Linked DNA regions of Lytechinus pictus. The protein of the gene in region 1 purifies or fractionates together with the protein of each later gene. This does not show direct contact. Links are inferred from orthologs where the notes say so. Each region holds a gene or a part of one and is shown on either strand. Other genes may lie near its edges. The genes, in order: centriole and centriolar satellite protein OFD1-like and centrosomal protein 20-like.

Evidence for each region.
Region 2: the proteins of centriole and centriolar satellite protein OFD1-like (region 1) and centrosomal protein 20-like purify together in Homo sapiens (co-immunoprecipitation; 3 studies listed by BioGRID and IntAct, with this or other methods). This does not show direct contact. The link is inferred for Lytechinus pictus from reciprocal best matches to the Homo sapiens genes OFD1 and CEP20.

The regions. Positions count from the first base shown.
Region 1 is NW_026974140.1:11,824,746-11,837,427, reverse strand, and holds the start of centriole and centriolar satellite protein OFD1-like, read left to right. Parts: upstream 1-6,237; 5' UTR 6,238-6,602; intron 6,603-12,682. UniProt on the Homo sapiens protein: Component of the centrioles controlling mother and daughter centrioles length. Recruits to the centriole IFT88 and centriole distal appendage-specific proteins including CEP164. Involved in the biogenesis of the cilium, a centriole-associated function.
Region 2 is NC_087254.1:24,245,568-24,258,841, reverse strand, and holds centrosomal protein 20-like, read left to right. Parts: upstream 1-6,701; 5' UTR 6,702-6,760; coding exon 6,761-6,788; intron 6,789-8,438; coding exon 8,439-8,636; intron 8,637-8,867; coding exon 8,868-8,952; intron 8,953-9,413; coding exon 9,414-9,553; intron 9,554-9,851; coding exon 9,852-9,916; 3' UTR 9,917-12,254; downstream 12,255-13,274. Other genes in the region: fascin-like, read left to right, coding at 259-560, 1,289-1,521. UniProt on the Homo sapiens protein: Involved in the biogenesis of cilia. Required for the recruitment of PLK1 to centrosomes and S phase progression.

The DNA.
Region 1 (12,682 bases):
CCTTTGACCTTTGAACTTGAACTTTATGGATTAATATGCATTCTAGGTGATTAACTTTATCTTATTTGACCTTCCTGTAAGAATCTGTGCATTTTGACACAACGATCACCAACCTGTGCCGTTTCATCTCAAAGATAATATTATACAGTATGATACATAATGTAAAAAAAGGTCATTGACCTTTGAAAGGCTTTGACCTTGAATTTTATTGTTTAATGTACATTCTGGGTACTTAATATTTTTTTTTTTTAATCTTCCTGTAAGAACCTCTGCATTTTGACACCTAAATAACCAACCTGCACCTTTTCATCTCAGAGATACCATTATACCGTATATGGTATATAATGTTAAAAAGGTCATTGACCTTTCAAAGGCTTTGACCTTGAATTTCATGGGTGAATGAGCATTGTAGGTACTTGATTTTATTTTATTTTATCTTCTTGTAAGAATCTGTGCATTTTGACACCATGATCACCAACCTGTAATATTTTATCTGGGAAATACCATGATACAGTATATTTAAAAAAGTCATTGACCTTAGACCTTGAAAAAAAACACTTTCCCCAACCCGTATTCCTCTAAACTTTTTTGGGGTAAATGTTGACACCCATACCTACTCAAATCAGTCAAAAAAACATTTCCAATAATTTTATTCCAGTTGGTTACTAATTACGGGATACTTTACAGTGTTTTTATTTTTAGAATGTTATTGTTGAAAAACAAGTGATCTTTGTAAACGCTTTCTTTCATGCATGGATATATAAATATTTGTCATCTTTTGACCTTTGACTTTGGATATCAAAGTTGAAGGATTATTCTGTATGATTATTTTGAGCCTTTTTATCTTCTTGTAAAAATTGCTTTTTGTCATCAAAATCACCAATATGCAGCGTTTTATCTGAGATACCTTTATACGATATATAGCCTATGTAAAAAGGTCATTGACCTTTGACCTTTGAACTTGAACTTTATGGATTAATATGCATTCTAGGTGATTAACTTTATCTTATTTGACCTTCCTGTAAGAATCTGTGCATTTTGACACAACGATCACCAACCTGTGCCGTTTCATCTCAAAGATAATATTATACAGTATGATACATAATGTAAAAAAAGGTCATTGACCTTTGAAAGGCTTTGACCTTGAATTTTATTGTTTAATGTACATTCTGGGTACTTAATATTTTTTTTTTTAATCTTCCTGTAAGAACCTCTGCATTTTGACACCTAAATAACCAACCTGCACCTTTTCATCTCAGAGATACCATTATACCGTATATGGTATATAATGTTAAAAAGGTCATTGACCTTTCAAAGGCTTTGACCTTGAATTTCATGGGTGAATGAGCATTGTAGGTACTTGATTTTATTTTATTTTATCTTCTTGTAAGAATCTGTGCATTTTGACACCATGATCACCAACCTGTAATATTTTATCTGGGAAATACCATGATACAGTATATTTAAAAAAGTCATTGACCTTAGACCTTGAAAAAACCACTTTCCCCAACCCGTATTCCTCTAAACTTTTTTTGGGTAAATGTTGACACCCATACCTACTCAAATCAGTCAAAAAAACATTTCCAATAATTTTATTCCAGTTGGTTACTAATTACGGGATACTTTACAGTGTTTTTATTTTTAGAATGTTATTGTTGAAAAACAAGTGATCTTTGTAAACGCTTTCTTTTTTAAAAACAATATTCTATCTAGGTAGGTTGAGTGTGTATTTCCCCAAACAATTGCTGTTAGCTAGCCGAGACAGATGAAAATTTGTGCAAAACTTGTAAGTTGGCGAATGTGGACCCGGGATCATCATCCGTTTAATGAATAATGGTGGTCCCCAAGTCTAGCCAGGAGGCTTCTAGAGAGTAAAAATCATTTACTAACGTAAGGTTACTCTCATACGAAGCCAGGTCTTCCTTCCTATACTTTTGCGTGTACCACCAAAAAACCTGAAACTTTCGCCCCGAGATTTCTACTTTCTTTCTAAAAGATCTAGCCCTAAATCATGTACATGGGATACAACTTCATTTCCGACATTTCTACGCTATGGATTTTATTTCTAGACAAGAATTGCTCCATAATTTAGATATGGTAAAATTAATGTCGAATAAAGCATTTTAGGGAGGAAGTTGGAAGAAAAAAACTTAACTTTGCTGATAACATCAATATCGCGTGAAATTGTACGACATATAAAGTCAGTGTGTGTTTTCCAAGATAATTTGTTGTCTATTATGAGACCTAAAAATGTTGTTGCAGTAACAACTTAAATGTCTATATTGTCCAGTTTAATATTAAATGGCAATTGTTCTAAAGCATTGCTAATAAGCATGCATTTTGTTTTTTTGTACATGAATTGACAATTTGTTAGCCCTAATCCATATTGTACCAAGTTCAGTGTTCAGTACAATAATTAAAATATCGGGGTTAGGATGAGAGTAGAGTAGAGTACACTATTTGAATCATCTGCAAAAGGACATAATTATTAAGATAATATTTCAGAGGAGTTCTGGATGTCATTTATAAAGATAATAGATAAAAGTGGGTCCAGGAGGCTGCCTTGGGGAACACCCCAGTTAACATTCTGTAGAGAAGAATTTTGTTCATTTATGCTTACGAATTGTTTACGATTTGCGAGGTATAGTTTCTGAACCACTCCAAGGCCTTCCCACGAACTTCGTAATTTTCAAGTTTGTAGAAAAGTATTTCATGATAGTGTCAAAGGCCTTGGAGAGGTTCAGAAAAACACATATTTGTATATTCAAAGTTGTCAATAGCTTTTGTGATTTTGTCAATTAATAAGAAAGTGGCATGAGATGTAGGCCTACCATGTTTTTGGCGATATCCAAATTGAAAATCAGAAATTATATTATATTTATTAAAAAAATTAATAATCTTGTATAGCTCACCCTTTCCATAACTTTAGTCAAAGTAGGCAATAAAGCTATCGGTCTATAGTTACATACATTTCTCCTTTTTGTGCACTGGTATTATCTTCGATATTTTCGTATTGTCAGGCACATCGGACGCCATTACTTAAAGAAAGGTTAAATATGTATACTAATAGATTAATATATTCTATAACATTCTTTAATAAAATATTATCAATACCATCCGAGGTGACCACAGTTTTTTTTTTTTAAGTTGTTCACTATATCTATATAATTCCTATGTACTGCATGGTACTAAAAATAAAGAATTAGGGTTTGGTTGGTGAATGAAGGCGTACATTTCTTTTGTGTTAATGGTATATTGTCTGCAAGACTTTTTCCAATTTGTGTAAAGTATTGATTAAATATATCAGCTATACGAAAAGAATCATGAATTTCAACATTATTGTGCTTTATCGTTTTCATGCGTTCTTTTATGCTCTCGTTATATGGCAGTGTTTATTGTTTTCCATGTTTTATTGATGTATTTGAAACGAATTAATTAATTTGTGAATTAATTGATTTGTGATTAGTCCAATTAGACCAAATAAATGGCTATTAGACCATCTGGTTATTAGACGGAATGGTATTAGACTATATAAATGAAAGTAGATCGACAATACGTGGAGAGTGGACGAATTGATGGTAGACCGAAGATAGTAGACGAGTTGGCAATATTGGATGAATTGGAAATAAGCTTGCAAAATGACAAAGACAATGACAAGTTTGGTCGCTTCCCTCCCTCGCTTTCGATTTTTTTGGGAAAAAGTTTACGCATGTGCTGCCCCCCCCCCCCGTGGCGGATTTTCCACAGGGGGGGGCAAATTCGTCGGCCCAAAAATTTGACAAGCAAAAAAAAAAAAAAAGGTCTTCAACCACAAATATAGGATTTCGAACCAAAAAAAAAATTGACAAGCAAAAAAGAAAAAAAAAAAGGTCTTAAACCACAAATATAGGATTTCATACCAGAAAAAAAATTGAAAAGCAAAAATATATAAATAAAAAAAAGTCTTCAACCCCAAATGTAGGATTTCGTACAAGAAAAAAAAATTGACAAGCAAAAAAAAAAAAAAAAGGTCTTCAAGCTCGTCAGGGGGGGGGGGGGGCAGGGATACGTCCCTTGCATGGGTTGTGATTCGTCAGGGGGCAGACTGCTTGCATCAACCGCGTAGCCAGGATTTCATTTTGGAGGGGGCGGTAAATGCACGCGAAGCGTGTCAACACTTACAGAGCGCGCGAAGCGCGTTCCCTAGGGGGTGGGTGCAGGGAGGGGGAGTTTCCCCCTCCCGCGCGAAGCGCGAAGCTTTTGGTGTTTCATAAATTAAAATGAAAAGGAGCCGTCTCTCTTGTCTCTAGTATCTATATCAGCTCCAATTCAGTTGACTATATTGTGATTTTGAACCTTGTTTTCAAAAGTGATTGTGAACGCACAAAAAGGAATACAGTGGAGGAAATTAAAATCATAATAACCCCGCGCGAAGTGCGGAAGCTAAAGCGTTTTATCAATTTTTTTTTGCCATGAAAAGGGTCCCGAGAAAAGGGTATTCTCAAAGATATATTGAATACTTCCCTTGGAAAGATCAGATTTGATTACAAACAATTTAGCGACAGTGCATATCTTTAACTCGCAAAACAGAGGAGAAGAAGTGTATATGCCGGGAGGAAGATATTCCTCCCCGCGCAGAGCAATAAAACTCTGAAATTTCAAAGGGCGGACGTTTCATCAAATGCAGATATCTCTAATACACAGTAAAAACGCTGTTTAAGATTTTATACAACGCTGTTTACTATATGAACCTTACAGTATTTGTTTAACCGTTTAAACAATCATGTTTAATTTATTGAAAATTAGATATTGAAAATTAAACTTTGTTGCTTAAGATTTAAACAGTTGTTTACAGTTGTTTACAATTGCTGTAAGGTTCATATATTAAACAGCGTTGTATAATTTTTTTTTGCTGTGTACCCCATCGGCTCTAATTCAATTGATTTCCTAAGATTATTGAACTTCATTACAAGGAAAATAGTGCGCAAAAAGTTGAAACTTCTGTGATTTATTGAAATTATATAAAAAAGGATGCCTAATTTCTTTGACTTATCCTGAAGCGCTTCATTTTGAATTATAAAGAAACCTAAGTGTCATTAAAAATTTCAAACTGAGGGCGCAAAACAGGACAGGAGATGAATGTGCAGGGAAATGACATGACGATTAATAGAATTTGATAAAAAAATATTGTACTTTTTTATTTAATACGACACAAATTTTATACATTCCTCTTCTTAAATTAGGAACCTGTTTGCCCCAAAATTATGGTTGTTTAGTAATGAGCTGAAAAGCGGGAGAAGTTGACTTTATGGAGTTGACGGCAGTAATTGATATAAAGATTTTACCCGCCCGGAGCCGACCCGACCAGAAGTTGCGCGATCAATTTAAAAAAAAAAGATAACTTCATATACTGATCGGCTTAACCTTACTCTAATTCCATGCCCTAATGTATACGTTTGAACTTTAACTGGCAAGAAACACATATATATAGCTGAGGTGGAAAAACATGGTTAGAGAAAGGGTGGGGGAAACAATGGAGAACTTCAATATTGTCATTTAAGCAAAATTCATATATAAATTTTGAGCAAGAGTGAAGGAGTTTCTCTTTTGAGAAAAAAAAGAATAAAAAGAAAAAAAAAACCGACAAAGCTACCTTTCTTCCATTTCCTCCCTTCTCTTTTCCTTTTCTCCTCTCTTTTTTTTCCCTTCTTTTTTTTTTCTTTTTGGGGACGTTTTGGGGGGGGCGACCGCCCCCACCGCCCCCCCCTGGCTACGCGCCTGCTTGCATGCACGAATTAAATAATCCCATCAATCACTAACACTCGTGAACTGAACTGAACTGAAACTTTATTCTGTCGACCCCTTTCGGAGTATGAGAATATACATAGATATACATCATACATTCATACATAGTGCATACGTACATTAATACATACATAACAAAACATGAATAAATATAAAAAGCTATAATATGGCAAAAAAAGGTGATGAAAGCCTTGATTGCTTGAATGCAAAGATAATACTTTTGAACACATGAATAACAAAAAGAGAAAGAAAAAGGATATAATAACATAATATACAGGTATATACATTTGGTACTTATCTACGAAACTGTTTCATAATAATGTTAACAAACTTGGCAAGTTTTGACAGTGTTTTGGGAATTTTAGTATTAAATAGACTATGCATTTTTAAAGTGTTTGGACGTTTGGCAAACTAGCAACAGATTGTCAGGGGATCATTGTTTGTATGTGTACCATAGAGATGTATACTAATTACTTGTACCCATATATTTTGGTCGATAATTTCTACCAACATTTCTGCTCCAATGCACTGCAGCGCTGAGCTGCCGATCGATCCGAAGAGAGGGCAACTTGCCAATCTCTAGGCCAGTAGTTTAGGCTGCATTTGCGAGCGATATACCGTACCGTTGGATTATCAGCGCGGGATATTCAATTTCAAAGACTGACGAGGTGGCGACAAAAGTTGGTTAGCAGGCTTGAAAGGATTGGAGAAGACAGCATTAAGACAAGTGGAAAAGGCTGGAGCATTTAAATCTGTACAACTTTTTGACCCCCAAAAAAGTTAGCTAGCCGAGACAGATGAAAATTTGTGCAAAACTTGTAAGTTGGCGAATGTTGACCCGGGATCATCATCCGTATTCCGTTTAATGAATAATGGTGGTCCCCAAGTCTGCGCACCTAAGAATTTGAGTTAAGATTTAACATGAATTTCTTTTTATTTCACAAAATCTTTCAGTTAATAATGTTCCTTATATTATTATTATAAAATATGAGTAAGTGTACCAGATATCTCATAAAAATTTAAAAGAAATATAGATCTATCATCTAGGAATTTCTTGGAAAAAACCTCGGGCAGTCATTTTCAATTTCAGATTGAAAAAATGATGGGGGGACCTAAAGCTACGCACTTTGTTTTCAAACAATAAAAACTATCCCAATTTTAATATTTCAACAAATATCTTTCACTAATTTGTGGCAAACATTCTAAAGATCATTAAACAAGAAGAAAATATCGCAAAACTCACTAATACGAAAATCCCGCCATGTTTTCCGAACACCTCTTGATTTCGCCACCCGATGTAGAAGGGGTCCTAAAGCTACGCGCACTCGATTTAATATCATGCAAAAAAATAGTATTTCCTGTGCCTCAATTTCTAAAATATATTCATATTATTATAGGAAAAAATGAAATTTAAGCGAATATAACTCCAAAATTCCAAACAGTTATTGGTTTCTCTGCATTAAATTAGAGATTTACTGCAGCCTCTGTAGAAAAAATTGAATAGGAATCATTCGTCACTCTGCAGTCACAGTTCCACACACAGAGTGCGCATTTGCCATAAAAACTATGCGCGATGAGTGGTGCGTAGCTTTAGGACCCCCTGCCATACTACGTCTACGGTATGACTATGAAGTATGATATGGTGGGCCCCAAGTCTGCGCACCTAACAATTTGAGTTAAGATTTAACATGAAATTCTTCTTATTTCACAAAATATTTCAGTTAATAATTAATGTTCCTTTATTATATTATTATGAGTAAGTGTGCCAAATTTCTCACTGAAAAATGAAAGAAAATATAGGATTTTCTTGAAAAAACCTTGGGCAGTCATTTTCAGATTGAAAAAAAAATGGTAGGATGGGGGGTCGGGTGTCCGGACAGTTTATCTTTTCGAAGCCTTCTTTTTTGTCTTTGGATTACACTAAAAATATGAATTCAATACTTGTAATCATCTTCTTTGTTCTTTATAATATTTCCTAAAATTTTGTACTAAAATTTGATGAAACTTTGCTTGTAATTTTTTCCAAATGACTTGTTAATTCTAAATTCTAAAATTGATCATCCGGACACACAACAACTGGGTATACCCCATGTCTGCGCACTCATTCACTTTGCACACGATTTGGGGATTTGGATGAGAAAGGCTGCATTTTGAGGTCGTCACATGAAGTGCCCTAAATTCATTATTTTCCCACCATTTTGAGCCGGATTTTAAAATAAAAATCTGTCTACACTGTATGTAATGCATGTGTAAAGTCTGTGTTCGTTGCGTATCTTTTACTAGAATCGCGCAGATACGCGTGTGCGCAGACAAGGGGGACTGCGCAGACTTGGGGGAACTTGCCATACAGTCCACCAGGTTGGTGTATCATGTGGACTCGACTGTTCACACAATCAGGTGCCAATGTTAACTTAGGTGCAGGTTGTATGATGGGGGACCTAAAGCTACGCACTTTATTTCCAATTTTACTATTACAAACGATGAAAACTGCCAGTTTTAATATTTGAATCATAAACCAAGGAGAAAATATCACAAAACTGACAAATACGAAAATCCTGCCATGTTTTCCGAACACCTCTTAATTTCGCCGCCCGATGTCATGCCTCATGGGTGTAGAACTTCTAGAAGGTTAAACTAGAAGGGGTCCTAAAGCTAGCACTCCATTTATCATGCAAAAAAAATAGTATACTCAATAGACCAGGGGCAGTATTCTGAAAATTGTCTTAAGAGAAATATTCTTGTATCTTTAGAGTTACAATAAAATCTGTATTCCGAAAATTCTTGTATGTTTTCTTGTAACTTTCGGCGAGCGCGTATGATGTCATAGCTAGAATTATGCGTAAAGTTAAAAACGGCGCATAAATATCCCTTTGCGCAAGATAACTTATCGAGGTAAAAGGTGTTCTGAAAATTCTCTTATCTTTGTGTTATGTTAACTTCCTTGGAAAATACAAGAAAATTTACAAGAGGTAAGGGGCTATTGTAACTTATTGTTGCATGCGATATTTGTCCGTCTGCAATAATTATTTCCTGCTGCATCCCGCAAGAATATCATGTTTTACAAAACGAGACTTTGCAAAGACATTATAACGACGGATTGGTAGACTTTTCAGCAAATTAAAAATTGGTGTTCGAGACGATGAATCTTTTCAGAGAAAATATGTCTTTGAGAAGAGCCACGTGTATTTTTAGCACAGAAGCGCACAAGCATAAGCATCGCGGGTGCAAGGAAATTACGCCTCATATCAACAATGCGCTTCATTATTTTTTAGAAGAGACGTCTCTATTGGTTGACCTTAGCATATCACAAGCTTAATGATTGGTTGATGAAGAAATATAGGGCGTGTCAGAGATAAAATAGGGGACGTTCTTACAGGGATAAGACAATTTTCAGAATACCAATTTAAGATAATTTTAGCGAGCTGTTATATTGCTGACTTACAAGAAAAGTTAAGACAATTTTCAGAATACCACCCCTGTTCGTAGTTACTTCTTGGACAATTTTTGTCAAATGACCTTTCATTTCTTTCACTATGATAGGCAGATTTCAATGCAAGATATTACGTAAGCATGCCTTCCATAGCAAGATGAAAAAATTGAATAGACCAGGTGACCAGAATAGCACACCAATGAACACTATGAAGGTATTTGTTGCATTTCTACTTTGAATGCATAATTATAGCATGTTGTCCAATGTACATGTACTTTGCAAACTGAAATACCAGTCGTTCGTAGACGCAATTTTGTTTTTTGTGGAGGTAAATCAAAATAATATATGAATAATCAAGACACCAAAGTTGGTGCTTATAAATCTCATTAGATTTTAAACCACCATGTCACTTTAGTACCAATGACCTTCCTCTGATCATGCACAGAGTGGAACTACGAACTGGCTTATTTCTAAAATATGTTCATATTATACAGGAACATATGAAATTAAAGTGAATGTAACTCCAATTCCAAACAGTTGTGGGTTTTCTCTGCATTTAGAGATTAAATGCAGCCTCTGTATAAAAAATTGATTAGGAATCGTTCGTCTGCAGTCACAATTCCACATAGTGCGCATTTGCCATTGAAAACTGCATGTGCGATAAGTGGTGCTTAGCTTTAGGACCCCCTACCATACGTTGTTTCAGACCCGACCCACGGCCCACCGTGAATTTAAACTTCAGTCTAGACTCTCTGGAGACTCTTGGTTGGTAAATTCTGAGATCCATTTTATGATTTTTATCTCAGATAAAATAAAATATTTTATCTCTGTTAAAATCAGTGAGATAAAATACCCTTAAAATCTCTCTGTATTGGTATTCTCTATCTCTCATCTCACTCAACCAACATGACCAATGCCATGGAAATCCATTCCGCCAGGAGGTGTGGCAAATGAGTGAGATTGCGTCAATTTATTGACTTCAAATATGCTTGCGCGTCTTTACAGAGATGCCTTTTTTAAAAAGTGACAATACTCTCATCTTTTTTTCAAAGTCTAGTCTAGGGTCACTCACACACATGCGAGGTTAGAATGTATTACTCGGCTAGGCACCTATACATGTATATCGTATCCTTTCAAGCATCATTTCAAACACAATATCAGTCATGGTCATGATTGTACAGGAAGAACGTTGTATTCTCAATAATATCATTCATTTTTCTTCATTTTCATCAAATTGATGTCAAGATTTGAAGTTAATTCACCTAGTAGAAATATTGATGAAATCAACGTCGCAGAGAAAAAAAAAGACTGACTCTGAGCATCAATTTCCTTTAAATTTTACAAAATTGTCAGTTGATATTGTTTCTTATATAATGTCAAGAGAACAGCACTCAGCAGCAGCCAGCAGGGTCTAACAAGACTAACATTACTTAACTTAGTGTGCCAAACATCTAACAATTTGAGAGAAATTTAATGACAATGCTCTAAAAAAAAAAAAAAGCAGCTAGTTATTTCAGATTGAAAAGTGGTGCCCCATGCATCATGTGCATGGCATGCGCTCACATATTGATCTCTGGCTCTCACCAACATTGTTTTACTTTCACTCCTTTTTTTTAATTAAAATAAATTCACCTTGTTCCACAGGTTTATTTGAAATTTGCCTAATTACCAACCATATACATGTACCATTTGGTCTAACTGGAATAAGTGTTAATTGGGCGAAATGAATGAAATTAAAATGGATATTTAAAATGGATATTAGACCAACTGGTTATGAGACAAAATTGTCATTATTAGACGAAATGGTGATTAGACAAAGTGATGATTGGACCTAATGATTTTTGGACCAAATGTTTGTTAGACAAAATGTTGATGGACAGAATGGTATTAGATTAAATGAAGGTACAATAACATTAGACCATGTGATGAGTTGGCAGACAAATTGGCAATTTACCATTTTATACCAATACCATGTCCACATGACTTTACATGTAGACTAAACTGGGCATACATTCCTCAAATTTTTCCTGATATCCAATATGAATAAATGCCAATGACTCTTGTTTATGATTTTAGGCTTTAAGAATAAGGTATGAACCTTGAAACATGCATGTTCCGTTTATTACAATGTTAAGTTCTTTTTATTACTTTTGGCTCCCATATTCACTTTACACACAGGGATTTTCTCCATCATTTTGTCTTCTTGACCCAGATTTTTAAATATCTGTCTATGTAATGCAGCCAGGTGTATTCAGTGTGAAGTTTATGGTTATTGCAGGTTATTTAATTTTCACTAAGGACTCTGTATACACAGACAGTACTATGCAGACTTTGGGCATCTAATCATATGAAGGAGGGCCCCATGTCTGCACACCTAACTATTCAAGTTAAAAATTTAACATGAATTTGTTTTTATTTAACAAAAATTTTCAGTTGATATTACATAATTATGAGTAAGTATACCAAAATCTCATAATAGTTTGAAGGAAATTTATGATTTTATTGGAAAAAACGCTTAAAAAAAATGCCAATTATTTTCAGATTGAACAAAAAAATGGTGCCCCATGTCTGCGCACCAACACAGGATTCTGGGTTTTGATGAGAAAATCTGCATTTTGATGCCGTCACATGACATGCCTGAAATTCAATATTTTCCCACCATTTTGAGTAGATTTTTAAACGAATATCTATGTATTTCAGGTGTAAAGTTTGTGTTCGTTGTGTGGATCTTCTTTTATTAGAAAAGAATGTGCGCAGACAAGGGGCAGTTGATATGAAGGGCCTTCTACTAGTATTTCAAAAACGTTAAACTTATTCTCCTGTAAAAATTGGCCATTCATTTTGAGATTGAAAAAAAATAATGGTGCCCTATAGGAATATTTTCAATTGGTCTAATGCTAATTCATCCAATTTCCAACTCGTCTACTATCATTTGGTCTACCATCAGTTTGTCCACTATCCACATGTTCTAAATGCTATTTCGTCCACTCACCGTTTCGTTTAATAACCTGTTGGTCCAATAGCCATTAGTCCATACCATTTGGTCTAATTGGACTAAGTGTTATTTGGGCAATATGAATGAAAAGAAAATGGGTATTCATATTGGACCAATTGATTATGAGACGAAATGGTCAAAGACAAACTGGTGATTAGATTATTAAGTGATTATTGGACCAAATGGTTGTTAGATGAAATTTTGATGGATGGAACTTGGCAGACTAAATGAAGGTAGACCGTGTGGTTAGTGGACGAACCCCTATGGCTATGTCCTATGACATGTCTTTGCACCAATTGACTTTACAAATGATTCAGGGATTTTGATGAGAAAGGTTGGATTTTGAGGCTGTAAGTATGATTGAAATGCCTGAAACTCTATACTATTTCACAGTTTTTGTGGACAAATGCAAGCACTCGTGTATATGACTGTTATGTTTCATCTTAGCTTGAGAATTTTGTGAATCAGCTGTG
Region 2 (13,274 bases), on another chromosome or scaffold:
GATTAAAACACTTAAGTATCTGTAAATAATATTGAGTGAGAAGCCGAAGCGAACGAGCAAATATTCCCATGTATACGCATTATCACCGGCGTCTTTTAAGCACACTGTGACGGTAAAAATCTCGTATAGCCTACATTGCACCGTTACCTGGTTGGGATGAAAAAGTAGCTAATTGCATGTATATTAAGGCTTTAAGTTCTTTTTATTAAAAAGTGATGTTTATAACAAAGCATTTGATTTCATTCATTTTATTTTCAGCACTGCAAAGCAGTTTGAATTCGAATTCGTCAATGACTCGTTCGCCCTTCGCCACTCCAATTCCCAACAATACGTATCGATAGATGCTTCCGGTCAACCATTCTTGACCGCCAACATCAACGACATCGCTGGCAAGATCGGCATGGAGCTCGCCAACCGCACCTCACTCATTCTCCAAGGCGAATTCGGATTCGTCAAGCGCGAAACAGGAGGAAGAAAAAATAAAGTCAAATGCAATTCGGCGGATTACGACGAACTGAATTTGACATACGAACCGGATACAAGTACATATCGGATTACAGGTAGAACTTCGTATTTTCGTATTTTAACAATTCGGTCAAGATTCAAGATTCAAGATTTATTCATTCCATTCGATAAAAAGATACAATTCATACATACAAATTTACAAATTTACAAGATTTACATACAAATTTACAAGATTTACATTTGGATACAATACAATTTATACAAACACAGAAATGGTATTGATTTCACATAGACAGAAAAAAATCAAATGGAAATGGGTCACTGCAAAGACTATAAAGATACATTCTTTCGATCTAGGAAGATTATCATCAAGGAATATTTCAACTTTCTGAACGTAGTTATAAAAGTCAAATTCGAGAGTTGCTGGGATTGGAAATTAGTCTATTGTGGTGGTCACGGTGGTCACGGGGACTGATCTAAAATGAAATTGAGAATAAAATTGACTTCTAAATCAATTAGATTTAAATTTTCAATTTACGTTTTGATAGGTTCCTCTTCGAAATCTAAAGAATTTAATGTGTGATTACTTTCAAGAAATTGGTATATCAAGATTGATTGTAATAAAAGTACCGCAGATAAAAGACGGTATGATTCAGTAAAGACGAGGCAAAATAACAATTAAGATCCTTGGTCGTACAAATTACATAATACTATTCAAAAGAGTATCTATCAAACTCTAATGCCGAGAAGAATTTGGTTATGATGCCTTTAAAATGTAATGATAAACATTCCTCCTTTCATAATCTTTTCATTTCACCACTAGATCAAGATGGGAATCCATGGTGCATGGACTCATTGAAGGAACACGTCATAGCCGCCTCCATGGGTCAACCAACATCTTTCATCCTAGAGCTTCACACAATACTTGGTAAAGCCAAGCTGGCCATACGTCCTCTGCACCCAGACAATGACTGTTTCCTGAAAGGCTACAAGAATGGCGCCTTCACTGCAACCGGCGATACATTGTCAAAGGAAACCCTGTGGACATTTAATTAGATCTTTATGTCCGGTCTTGGATGATTCTGTTGTAAAACAGTTTTTTCAACTGAACCGGACTGTACTCTCCACCGTTTTTACCGATTGTGTTAAATAAAACATGAATAAATCATGGTCTGATGAAGTAAAGTTAACCATGATACGTCCCAGGAGCCCAGACAGGGAGTTTCACAAATGCAATGGGGACAGATTCAAGAACACAGTAAATGTACTGAAAATGCCCGTCAAGTGGCAATTCAAAGAACATCTGGGTCTTTGTCGAAAATTTGTGAACCGGAACAGCAGTTTCGTCCTAATTAGTTTCGGAGCTGACGAATGATGAATATGTCGTTTGTCCAGAGTCCAGGATGAAACTGTTGTTTAGATTTATCAATTTTGACAGACTTCTTGGCTGTGTTTGTTTTCTATAGGACGTTTGACATTGTATTGACATTCCGTCGTGCGTCGTGCACGTGAAAACTTCTTCATTGCTGTTTCCTTGAAGTCTGGGTTATCCAATCCTTCATGGATTTATTTTTTAAAATCCATAAACGGAATAATCACCCATCCGCTTAACCAATACGTTCCATGATTGCAGTGGCGGATCCAAGGGAGGGGAGGGGGCACATCCGGCCTGTGTCCCCCCTTTTGAGAGCCATAATCAAAATATGTAATGTAAATATACACTCTAAATTACAGGGATTTAAAATAAGTCTAGATGGATTGTAGTTAGGGACCAATCGATTTCTGGATTTTGTTTTAATCCTAAAGACTTAAATTTAAATCTCAAATGATTTAAATTTAAATTAAATTTAAATCTTTCGAGATTTAAAAAAGGAATCTGAAGGATTCAATTAAATCCGGAATTCGATTGGTCCCTAACTACAGTCCATGTGGACTAATTTTAAATCCCTGTAATTTAGAGTGTACCGTTTTTACCCAAGTGTGCCCCCCCCCCCCTTTGAAAGTGAGGACGAAATGGCCTTCAATTTTAGGTGAAACCGTCCTTTCTTTTTTTGCTTGTCAAATTTTCATCTGGAAATTTTGCCCCCCCCCCCCCCCTCTTTGGAAAATCCTGGATCCGCCCCTGATAATTGTGAGTAAAGGTTTGGCATATCGAGTCTGTACCTACATCTCGGTTACGGCCATGACGACAGTTCAATGTTAGCCTAGAATCGTTTCCATTACTTAATGGTGGCAGCGGTGGGATCGTTGTGACGATTTCTTGAGGTTTATCGTCACGGCCGGGGACGATTTTCTTTCCAGCTGTACTTGTGTACCCTCTGAAATAGGTTACTCTTGATGAGGGAAAATATTTTGAACATTTGTTTCATGCATATTAATCTACTTTCTACTTTAAACAGTGTTGAAACATCAATTACTATAGCCTGGTACCCTGGTGGCAAACCGTCTTTTTTAATTTTGTAAAAATAGGAACATGTAGAAACTTGTGTTCATACTTTTTTGCATATGTGTTAAAACACGATCAAACGAAAGCGCGAATGATTTTTCTTTTTAAAGGACAATTCCACCCCAACAAAAAGTTGATTTAAATAAAAAGAGAAAAATCCAACAAGTATAACACTGAAAATTTCATCAAAATCGGATGTGAAATAAGAAAGTTATGACATTTTAAAGTTTCGTTTAATTTCACAAAATAGTTATATGCACATCCTGGCTGGTATGCAAATGAGGAGACTATGACAGCATCCACTCACTATTTCTTTTGTATTTTTTTTAATGAAATATTCTAATTTTCTCCTCATTGTCAAGTGATACAAAGATTAATTCCTCCCTAAACATGTGGAATTAGCATTGTCTAATACTATATGGTTCAGTCAAGTTGGTCCTTATATATTGTCAAATCTATAAAAAATGAACTGTTGAATAATTCAGACAATAAAAAACAAAAGAAATAGTGAGTGATGGGCATCATCGACTGACTCACCTAGTTGTGCATATCACTGTTTTGTGAAAAATAAGCGAAACTATAAAGTGTCATAACTTTCTTATTTTACATCCGATTTTGATGAAATTTTCAGCACTATGCTAGTTTGATTTTTCTCTATTTATTCAAGTTAGCATTTTCCTGGGGTGGACTTGACCTTTAAAGTAGCTTTCAAGATAATTATTTCTAGTACGACTTGGAGATGTTTTCGTGTTTAATTAGCTTTACATTGGATTTATTTCAATGCATAATCTATAACATACTTCAGCAAAAGCATTAATGAAAATTTCACGAACAAGGTACATGTATGCCTAGCTATATATATTCGAAACAGTTCCAAGACGCTCGGGACATATCCGAGCAAAATATGTGCATTATTTGCAGGGCCCTGGAAAGGAATGTTTTGTGAGGGTGCTGATGTAAATTTAAAAATAAAAAAAGGTATTCTTTACAAATGGAGGAGGTCAAATTGTTCCGAGAAATTTGAAAAGCAGAAAACAGAAAAATGGTTTCACTACAAAATGAAGGTCATTTTTGTTACATTTTTCAAGTTTTACACAACTTCCAGAATACCTGGGGGTGCTGCCTAATGCATGCAGCACCCCCGCTTCACAGGGCCATGATTATTTGTTTTATAAGATGTTGATGTGAGTCCTTGCTCGTTGATAAATCATCCTCATTATCAAAATTCAACCATGGTCGGTCATAATACGTTACTTGTGACCGTTCAGACAAATGCATATAGGCATTGCATGCGATCAACTTCAAGACGATAAAATCAGTTTTAAGCGCAATTTTGAAATACATTCTTAAAAAAATATAGTTACATTTCACATGAGAACAAAAATAAAATCGTGATTGTAGAATTAAGAACGTTTTACTCATGTCTGCACACCAATCAAATGAACCTTTTTAGTGATTTAATGAGTTCCATTTTACGATCTATTCCATTATCTGAAATCAATCATTTTACAATCACATTAAAAAAATCGACTTAAAAGAATAATTCGATTTTTCAAACAAACAATGAAATCTATTTTTTTCCAAAACCATTTAGGAACTAGATTTCAAAGTCAATTTCAAAATCAACAGAAAAATCTATTTTAAAATATTACAGTTTAAAATCGATTTTAAAATGCAAAGTCATATTCAGCAAAAAAAAATATATATTGACACTGAAATTGTAAAAATGGAGCTAGGACATAATTTAATATGGGTATAAGGCCTTGATTTTTTTTCGATATTGATCTTAAAATTGATTTTAACCTAGAATCAATTAAAGTTTTTTTTTAGCTCTTTGATCTACATCCATTCAAGCCCTGACAGCTCAATCGTAGTCTCATTCTTTCCATACTGCACGTCATTTGGTGTTCCACAAAAACATGAAGAATAGAATTACATATTTTGTATGAGTATTTTTTCTCATACTTTCAACTGCTGTTATTGTCTATTATGTGCAATGCATCATGCAATCTTCTATTTATATTGTATTTGAACGTAGGATGAAATGAAATCACGGTGTTATTGAGCTTGTCATATCTGTCAGAAGAAGCACTCCGCATCTATTAGTTTAATGAAATGACTTTGACATTCATTTTCTTTTTGTACTTAATATGCACGTTCAATGTTTCAGTACAAAGCGATCAAAATCTTTGTGGATGACAATCATGTGCAATAAATGTGATATATGAAGCCAATGGTTTGATGTGTGCTTTTCATGCAGTCTATTTTCTTTCTTTCTTCCTTCCTTCCTTCCTTCTTTCCTTCCTTTCTTCTTTCTTTCTTTCTTTCTTTCTTTCTTTCTTTCTTTCTTTCTTTCTTTCTTTCTTTCTTTCTTTCTTTCTTTCTTTCTTTCTTTCTTTCTTTCTTTCTTTCTTTCTTTCTTTCTTTCTTTCTTTCTTTCTTTCTTTCTTTCTTTCTTTCTTTCTTTCTTTCTTTCTTTCTTTCTTTCTTTCTTTCTTTCTTTCTTTCTTTCTTTCTTTCTTTCTTTCTTTCTTTCTTTCTTTCTTTCTTTCTTTCTTTCTTTCTTTCTTTCTTTCTTTCTTTTTTCCAAAGAAACAAATAAACCTAACAGAAACATCTTATCATATACTTTTTCCATAGATATCAGATGTTTTTACCAAAAGTTTAATTTTAGCTGGAAGTTAGGGCTCAAGAAAAGGGGAAAGTAAAAAGGGGTAGGAGGCCCGGGGAGGCAATTAGGGAGAGAGAGAGAGAGAGAGAGAGGGGGGGGGGAGGGGGAGAGACAGCTCTTTCTACCGTGCTTAATTGAAAATTGGTTTTTATGTTTTTAAAAATAAGTACGTCGATATTTTTCTTTTTCTTCTGGCAACCTATAAATGTTCATTTATAATCGCACAAATTCTAGAAGGAAACTCATTTCCAGTTTTGATATATCCTCCAAATAATAGCACAACGCATTTTCATATCGTTGATTTGCCTATATTGGCCGTGTGTTTTTCAAGGTTTTCCCGAAACCAAATTTAAATTAGGCCTATACATGACCCTATACTGAGCCGCGGAACGGATTTGAAAGTGGGGGCACTACCATGATAAAAATCGCAATCAGATTGTCATTTTCTTACTTTTTGGTACACGATTTTTTGAGAAAAAAGGGAGCTGAAGCCCTCCAGCCTTCGGTTTCGCGGCCCCCGCAAGAGGGGCCGACGGGGGGGGGGGGGCAGATGGTAGAAGAAGGGCACGGGGGCTGGGAAGGGGAATCAAACTGTCAAGAAGAACATTAACAGAGCCGACATTCAATCAAACATGATGATCCGAAAAAATAAGTGAAAAAAAATTTCAACACTTTGCATTTTTTGTTCTTTCTTTTTAGAAGCACTAACTTACATGTAATATATTTTTTCTTTAACTTGTTTATATTTTTTCAATGCAAGTATATGTATATATTAACACAATATCAAATGATTGAGTGTTACACTGAAACTCCATATCATACTACCTGTATAATGATAGATATAATAATGTGTATATCAAGTATCTATTTACAAAATCGACATAATTATAGGCCTACTCATTCTCTTTTTCGAGTGTCAAATATTCACAACAAAACATAAACAAAAGATTTTCCATATACTCAAAAACCTAAACGAATTGAAGTCATTGGCAATGTTTTTTTAAAAACCCTCATCACCTCGGCCTCCTCGCTCCAATATTACATGTCCTAACAACAACAACAACAACAACAACAAAATGATCCGAGTTCCGCGTTTTAGCTGGCTCCCCATTCGGCGCTCCATAAACATCCATAAGCCAGCGGTTTTGTTTAAATTTGCTGAGAAGTAAAACGCTTAAATGGCTCAAGCCCAAGAATTAAAATCAGGTGAATATTGCTTTATTTTTTCCATGAATAATTACAATGCTACTTCTTAATTACACTATGGATTAAAAATTATTGATATAGATACTGTTTAAAGCTATAAAAGGGGAAAATAAAAACAATAAATTTGACTGTGTCCCACCTGTTAATATTTGTGTTAGCGCTTTTGAAGTTAGATCTATCTCACTCATTCTATGAACCCCTTTTCATAGAATGAGTGAGATAGATCATAACCTTTTATGATATAACCTACCTCGGGCGATGTTCGTGCAGGCTCCACTTCACTACCGCTACACTCCGCTCCACCTACCCGAACATCGGGACCGTGAACCATTTCGGATATAGGCCTACCGAGTCACAAAGCCAAGGTGGGATGGCAATCATGATAATCGTAAAATTAAACAAAAAAAATATAACGAAAAAGATGATTGACTTAATATCTTACTCTACACCCATATTTCACTCCGTTTCCATCCTCCGGTTATCCTCAAAATTTGTGATTTTTTGGGCCAGTATCTTTCCTCACACGTATTATTCACGGCCGATTTCAAAACACTGCATGCGACCATAAAATGTTAAACAATGGTATTTCCACATGTTCAGGGAGAAATGAAACTTTGTTTCACAGGATAAAGGGGAGAAAATTAGAATATTTCATATTTTATGTAAAGAAGTACAAACGAAATGTCATCAGTCCCCTCATTTGCATACCGACCGGTATGTGCATATAACTGTTTTGTGAGATTGAGTGAAATTTAAAAATATCATAACTTTCTTATTTTACATCCGATTTTGATGAAATTTTCAGTGTTACACTCGTTGAATTTTTCTCTTATTATTCAAATCAACTTGTTCTTGGTGTTGACTTGTCCTTTAAGTAAATTTGATTCTTTAGATTATTTTTTCTTAATTAAAAAATAGAGATTGAAAAATGACAATTTCCACCAATAGAGGGCGTTCACAAAAATATGCCAAAAATTCAAGTTTTTGAGCATTCTGGTGAATACAAAAATTACTCCAAAGTTAATAATAATGAAAAATAAATTGCAACTGTATGTAAATTAGTATTTTTGGTCACAAAAGTGATATTTTAATGATTTTTTAAATTGTGTGCTGTGTACAGCATTGTCATACCATAGTCCTACCTGTAGATTACCCACAGGCAGGATGGTGGATCTATCTAGGCCTATGTCATATACACTCATTCAATTAACAAGGTTATGAATGACATAGTTAGGGTCTATTTGTTTAAATTTGCCCAATGCCTGGCAGCTCATCCAGGTGAATCTAGTGTTTAAGTATTTTTGTTCTAGGCCCTACTATTATTATTGTGTTACTGTAGTGACTAGTCTGCTAGTTGTGTATTATTAAAAAAAAAAAATTATCATTGTTGTACTTGACTTGCTTTTCTATTTCATATTTTTTGCCAAATAAAATATTATATTAATAATAATTAAAATTTCGTAGATATATTCTCTCATTTCTTTTCTCAATGCCAACTTGATAGCAGGATGGACTTCCACTAGACGGCTAGTCTTGTCTAAATGACTCTAAAGCCAGTTGAATTTAAAGTTTTAAACTACACTAAACTTTCTGACTGAGTTTTTGTATTTATACCGTCTCTGTCCTTTGTTGGACTATAATTCTCCCCAGTTGTCAAGGAGACATTGGAAAATAATGGTGTCCTTGGAGAGATCAAAGCAAGAGTCAGAGCTGAAGTCTTCCGGGCCTTGGATGATCCAAATCAGAGGAAACCACCACTCAGCAATGAAAACATGCTCATCAATGAACTCATCAGAGAGTATCTAGAGTTCAACCACTATAAATATACATCATCAGTACTACTATCAGGTATGGTTGTGAATAGATAAAGCTTAACAGTTGTAAAATTGTCAATAGTCACTCTTGTCAGTAAAATTGTCAATAGTTACTCTTACCTAATTTGAAGAACTTTTAAGTAATGAAACCCTTTTCTTTGGTCTTGGGATTTTAAAAATATTTAATCAGGTTTATGTGCATAATAGATTTCATTACCAAATGGTACAAAGAAAATAGGTTTTTATGAAAATTCTTCCTTTTCAGAGTCTGGGCAGCCCACTACTCCACTAGATCGCCAGTTTTTGGCCACTGAGCTCAATCTAGTAGAAGACAAAAATACATCTAGCATGTAAGTAAATGCACTATTAAATGTAACTGAGTGAAGATTAATTATTTAATGTAATTTTTTTTAAAATGTCTTTGACTCATGAATACAATAGCGTACTTAACCATGGCAACAGGCGTCAATTTGGCACACTGACAAAAGCTTGCATCAGCATTGGACAGTTTTTAATATATGCGGTAAATAAGCATAATTTATACCGAAAATCTGCATAAACCATGGGTTCAACCGACGGTTTTAAAAACCACCTTTGTGAATTCGGGCCCTAGTGTTTTTTTTAACTCAAGTACAAAATAGATTTCTGATTTCTCCGACTGATTTATATTGATTGAAAAATTCAATTTAATTTGATACAAGAACATTAAAAATCATTAAAAAAGGATCAGGTTTTGGTTTCTGGAGAATTTGTACTGGATCCCTCTTTATTTTGTTGATTATTATCAAGATTCCAATATTTCTGTTTTCAGACCTCTCCTGTATGGGATACTTTCACACTTCATCCATGGTCAAGGAAGAGGTTCTTCAGTGAGCCCCGCCCACCAATCATCATCACATCAATTGAGATCACTTCATGTCAGGTCAGATCGTCACAGGACAACAAGATCAGGTAAAAGTTAACACGTTTTCCTTTTATACAGGGATTTCTTTAGGTCAGAATTAATCAGTTTTATTCCCAAAACTATCAATAGTGTTTTATCTTTTCAAGCATAGCTTGAAAAACGAAACATGTCTAAGAATCGCAGAATTCAGTTAAATGCAATTTGATCTAGTTTTGTCAAGGGTGGTTTTTATTATTGCATAGTGAATCGAGACATGGAAATAAGCTTCTATTTTCATACCTTTGTATTTTTTTTCAGAACCTTTGTCCTCATTTGATTGTTTCTTTGATTCCTCTTCTTCTATAGATGTTCCTCATCATTCTGATGTGAGGGTAGGAGAGCCGTTCACATTCAGCAACAAGACAAGATGATATCTAGTTTCACATAGTTTCAACTTGTGACAAAGCTCTGTTTGCATTGGTCTGATTAAAGAATTTACCGGTCCTTATGCTGTAAGTTGTTTGTATCATATTGTCAACATGAAATGGAAGACTTGAAACAGGGACTTTTCTTTCTTACGTTTACAATCCACTGCCTAATTTTCATAATGGTCAGTATGGCTTAATGTCATCTTGCAACAATGTGTGGATTGGTTTGTTGATGAACTGAACACAGTCCTAGTTGTTGGAGCTGTTAATAATGTCGGATTACAGACATGGAACAAGAAAGACTGGGAATTCCTACTTGGAACAAGAGTTGAGACAGAAGATACTGAGTTTAACAATCACCCTCAAAAACCCTACAAATCTTGTAGGGTTTCGAGGCAATCTGGACATCATTTGGGAAAATCTGAGACACTATTTTTCTCCATTTGCAAGTATGAAGAAAACTCAATACAAAAAAAAATAGTTCATGTAAGCTACATTTCACATTATAGTCAATGTAACCAAACATAAAATTCAGTCCTCCAGTCACAGGGCCCAAAACTTCAAAGTGGTAGTCAAGTTTTCTTGGAAAGTTTACCTCAAATTTTCACAATTTACTCACTTAATTGCCAGTTTAAAACTAAGTAGGATATATTTAGAGATATATTTTCCAAACATTCATATGCTTTTTTTTCTTATCTGATTTCTTTCTCCTTTCAAACTTTCACCTGCATATTTTTCAAATAGCTTTTGTCTCACCTGCATAGTAGTGAGACTATAGGCGCCGCTTTTCCGACGACGGCGGCGTCGTCAACATTGAAATCTTAACCTTGGTTAAGTTTTTGGAATGTCATCATAACTTAGAAAGTATATGGACCTAGTTCATGAAACTTGGCCATAAGATTAATCAAGTATTACTGAACATCCTGTTTGAGTTTCAAGTCACATGATCAAGGTCAAAGGTCATTTAGGGTCAATGAACTTCAGACAAGTTGGGGGTATCTGTTGAATTACCATCTTAACTTTTAAAGTTTATGGATCTGATTTATGAAACTTAGACATAAGAGTAATCAAATATCACTGAACATCTCATGCGAGTTTCAGGTCACATGACCAAAGTCAATGGTCATTTAAGGTCATTGAACTTTGGCCATTTTGGAGGTAATTATTAGATTGCTGTAGTAACTTTCAAAGTTTATAGATATAGTTTATAAAATGTGGATATAGGGGTAATCAAGTATCACTGTTTTAGGTTGCATGATCAAGGTCAAATGTCATTTTTTGCCGATGAACGTAGTAATGTATCATTATATGAATGGTGTTTTTTTGTTAATAATTATTTTATAGTAGTTTTCAAAGTCAGCACTGCTGCTATATTGAATCGTGTGATGCAGGTGAGACTGCCAGAGGTGCTCCACTTGTTTTTAATTTCTTCCAACAAATCATAATTTTTACCAGGCTGTTTTCATTGAGTGTAATTAATTGAAAATGCTCACAAGGTTATTTTTTTTATTCAGTGTACTAATCATATATATTTCATCTTTGTTAGCCTATTGCTCGAGACTACTTTTAATTTTCAGACGATTTGTCAACTAGATTTTCTAATTCATGTGATCAACATTTTTATGTTATACAATGTAATCAAACAAGAGATCTATCATATTGCTGTGAGCAAATGAACTGTGCTGTTTGAGTGTATAAAGCTCTGACTTTAAATATGCAATTCAACCATCTGATATGTATCTTCTTGAAATGACATCTCAAGTTTCGAACAAATACATTCTCACACTTTCCAAATGGAAAAAAAAAAGAAGTTTATAATTATGTTTTTGAACAAAGTTTCAGTGTTGCCTCAATAAACAAGTGATGTGAGGCTAAGTTCTAAGGAGAAAAAATTGTAGCTTTTTTGTGTTGGTTACTAAAATATATGATGATACACATCATAGTGCCTTTTTTTTTTCAAGTGACATTTTTATAATTTTTTTTCATCTTGAAATCCTTTCCCAAAATGTGTATTCCCGATAGTTCAATATGTTTCCTTGTTTTATTTTATTACAAAATTTGATAAGAAAATGAAATCAGGAATTCTAAACCAAATGCTGATATGATACAAGGGAACTATATCTGTGGATAAAAAGTTTAATATTTTAAGTAGTATGTGAGTGTTTGATGAAGATAAACAGTTGTGCATTTTAAGTAAATGGGATTGTTAGAAATACTCTCCCTCTCTCTGGAATGCAAGTACAGTATTTTCTACTTTGAAATTTAGGATTTAAGGAATTGACAAATCAAAAGTTATAAAGATTGAAATATATATACATATTTTACAAACGCAAATCATTTTTTCTGTTTTGTTACAGTGTAATGTATGTATGCACCTTTGCACCTTATATGAAAATAGAGACATAGAGAAAGAGATCGAAGAAGAACTGGAGAGAGAGGAGAGGGGGGGTGGTACTAGATTTTGAAAAGGGAAAATATATGATATTCCACAATATGCGAGAGAGGAAGGAACATTTCCTGAGTTTTCAAAATGCCTACATATTACATTTTCATTTTTGATAGAATTGATAGCATTTGCATAGAGGAATAGACAAATATAAATCAAATGTCTCTCGATGGGGGGGGGGGGGGGTCCTCCCATGGCCCTGTTTCCCAGAGGGTGCTGCGTGTATTATTCTCCAGAGGCAGCACCCCCAGGAATTCTGGTAGGTGTGGCAAATTGGGGAAAATATAGGGAAAATTACGCACATTTTGATGTGAAAACGTTTTTTTTTTTTTTTTTGCTTGCATGTCAAATTTACTTCAGCACCCCCAGCAAAAAAAAATCGCGCCCATGGCCCTGCTTCCTCCCACGGATTTTGAAAACTAATTTGTAGTAAATGTTCACAAATGCACACAAAGTATTAAAAAAAAGAACCCCAAATGTCATATAATTGGTTGCTTCAATCCCTTGCTTACTTATCATGCATATGTTTTTCAACATCTTAAGTATCCATGCCCCCTGAGGAAAAAAATATTTACAGCCACTGCCTTGCCTCAGAAATTTCAAAGGACATTTTAGTCCTTACGTTAAATCCACTAGTTTATAGGCTTGATTGAGAGAAATTGGTTGAGAAGGAAATAAAGAGAGTTATTCAGAGAAGAAGGAGATTAAAATATTGTTCTTTTCATCTGTTATTTAATATCCATCTACCCCTCCCGCAAATATCCAATATAATGATTCGATCTAGTGTGCATAAAAGTTATAACACTTGATCGAATGAATTGCCTGTTACTGCATTTGGCGCCCATTTCAACTTCAGCTAACCCAAAAGGGGAAGTATTATTGGCAACCTGTTTTAAATGTTGTAACATTGAAATT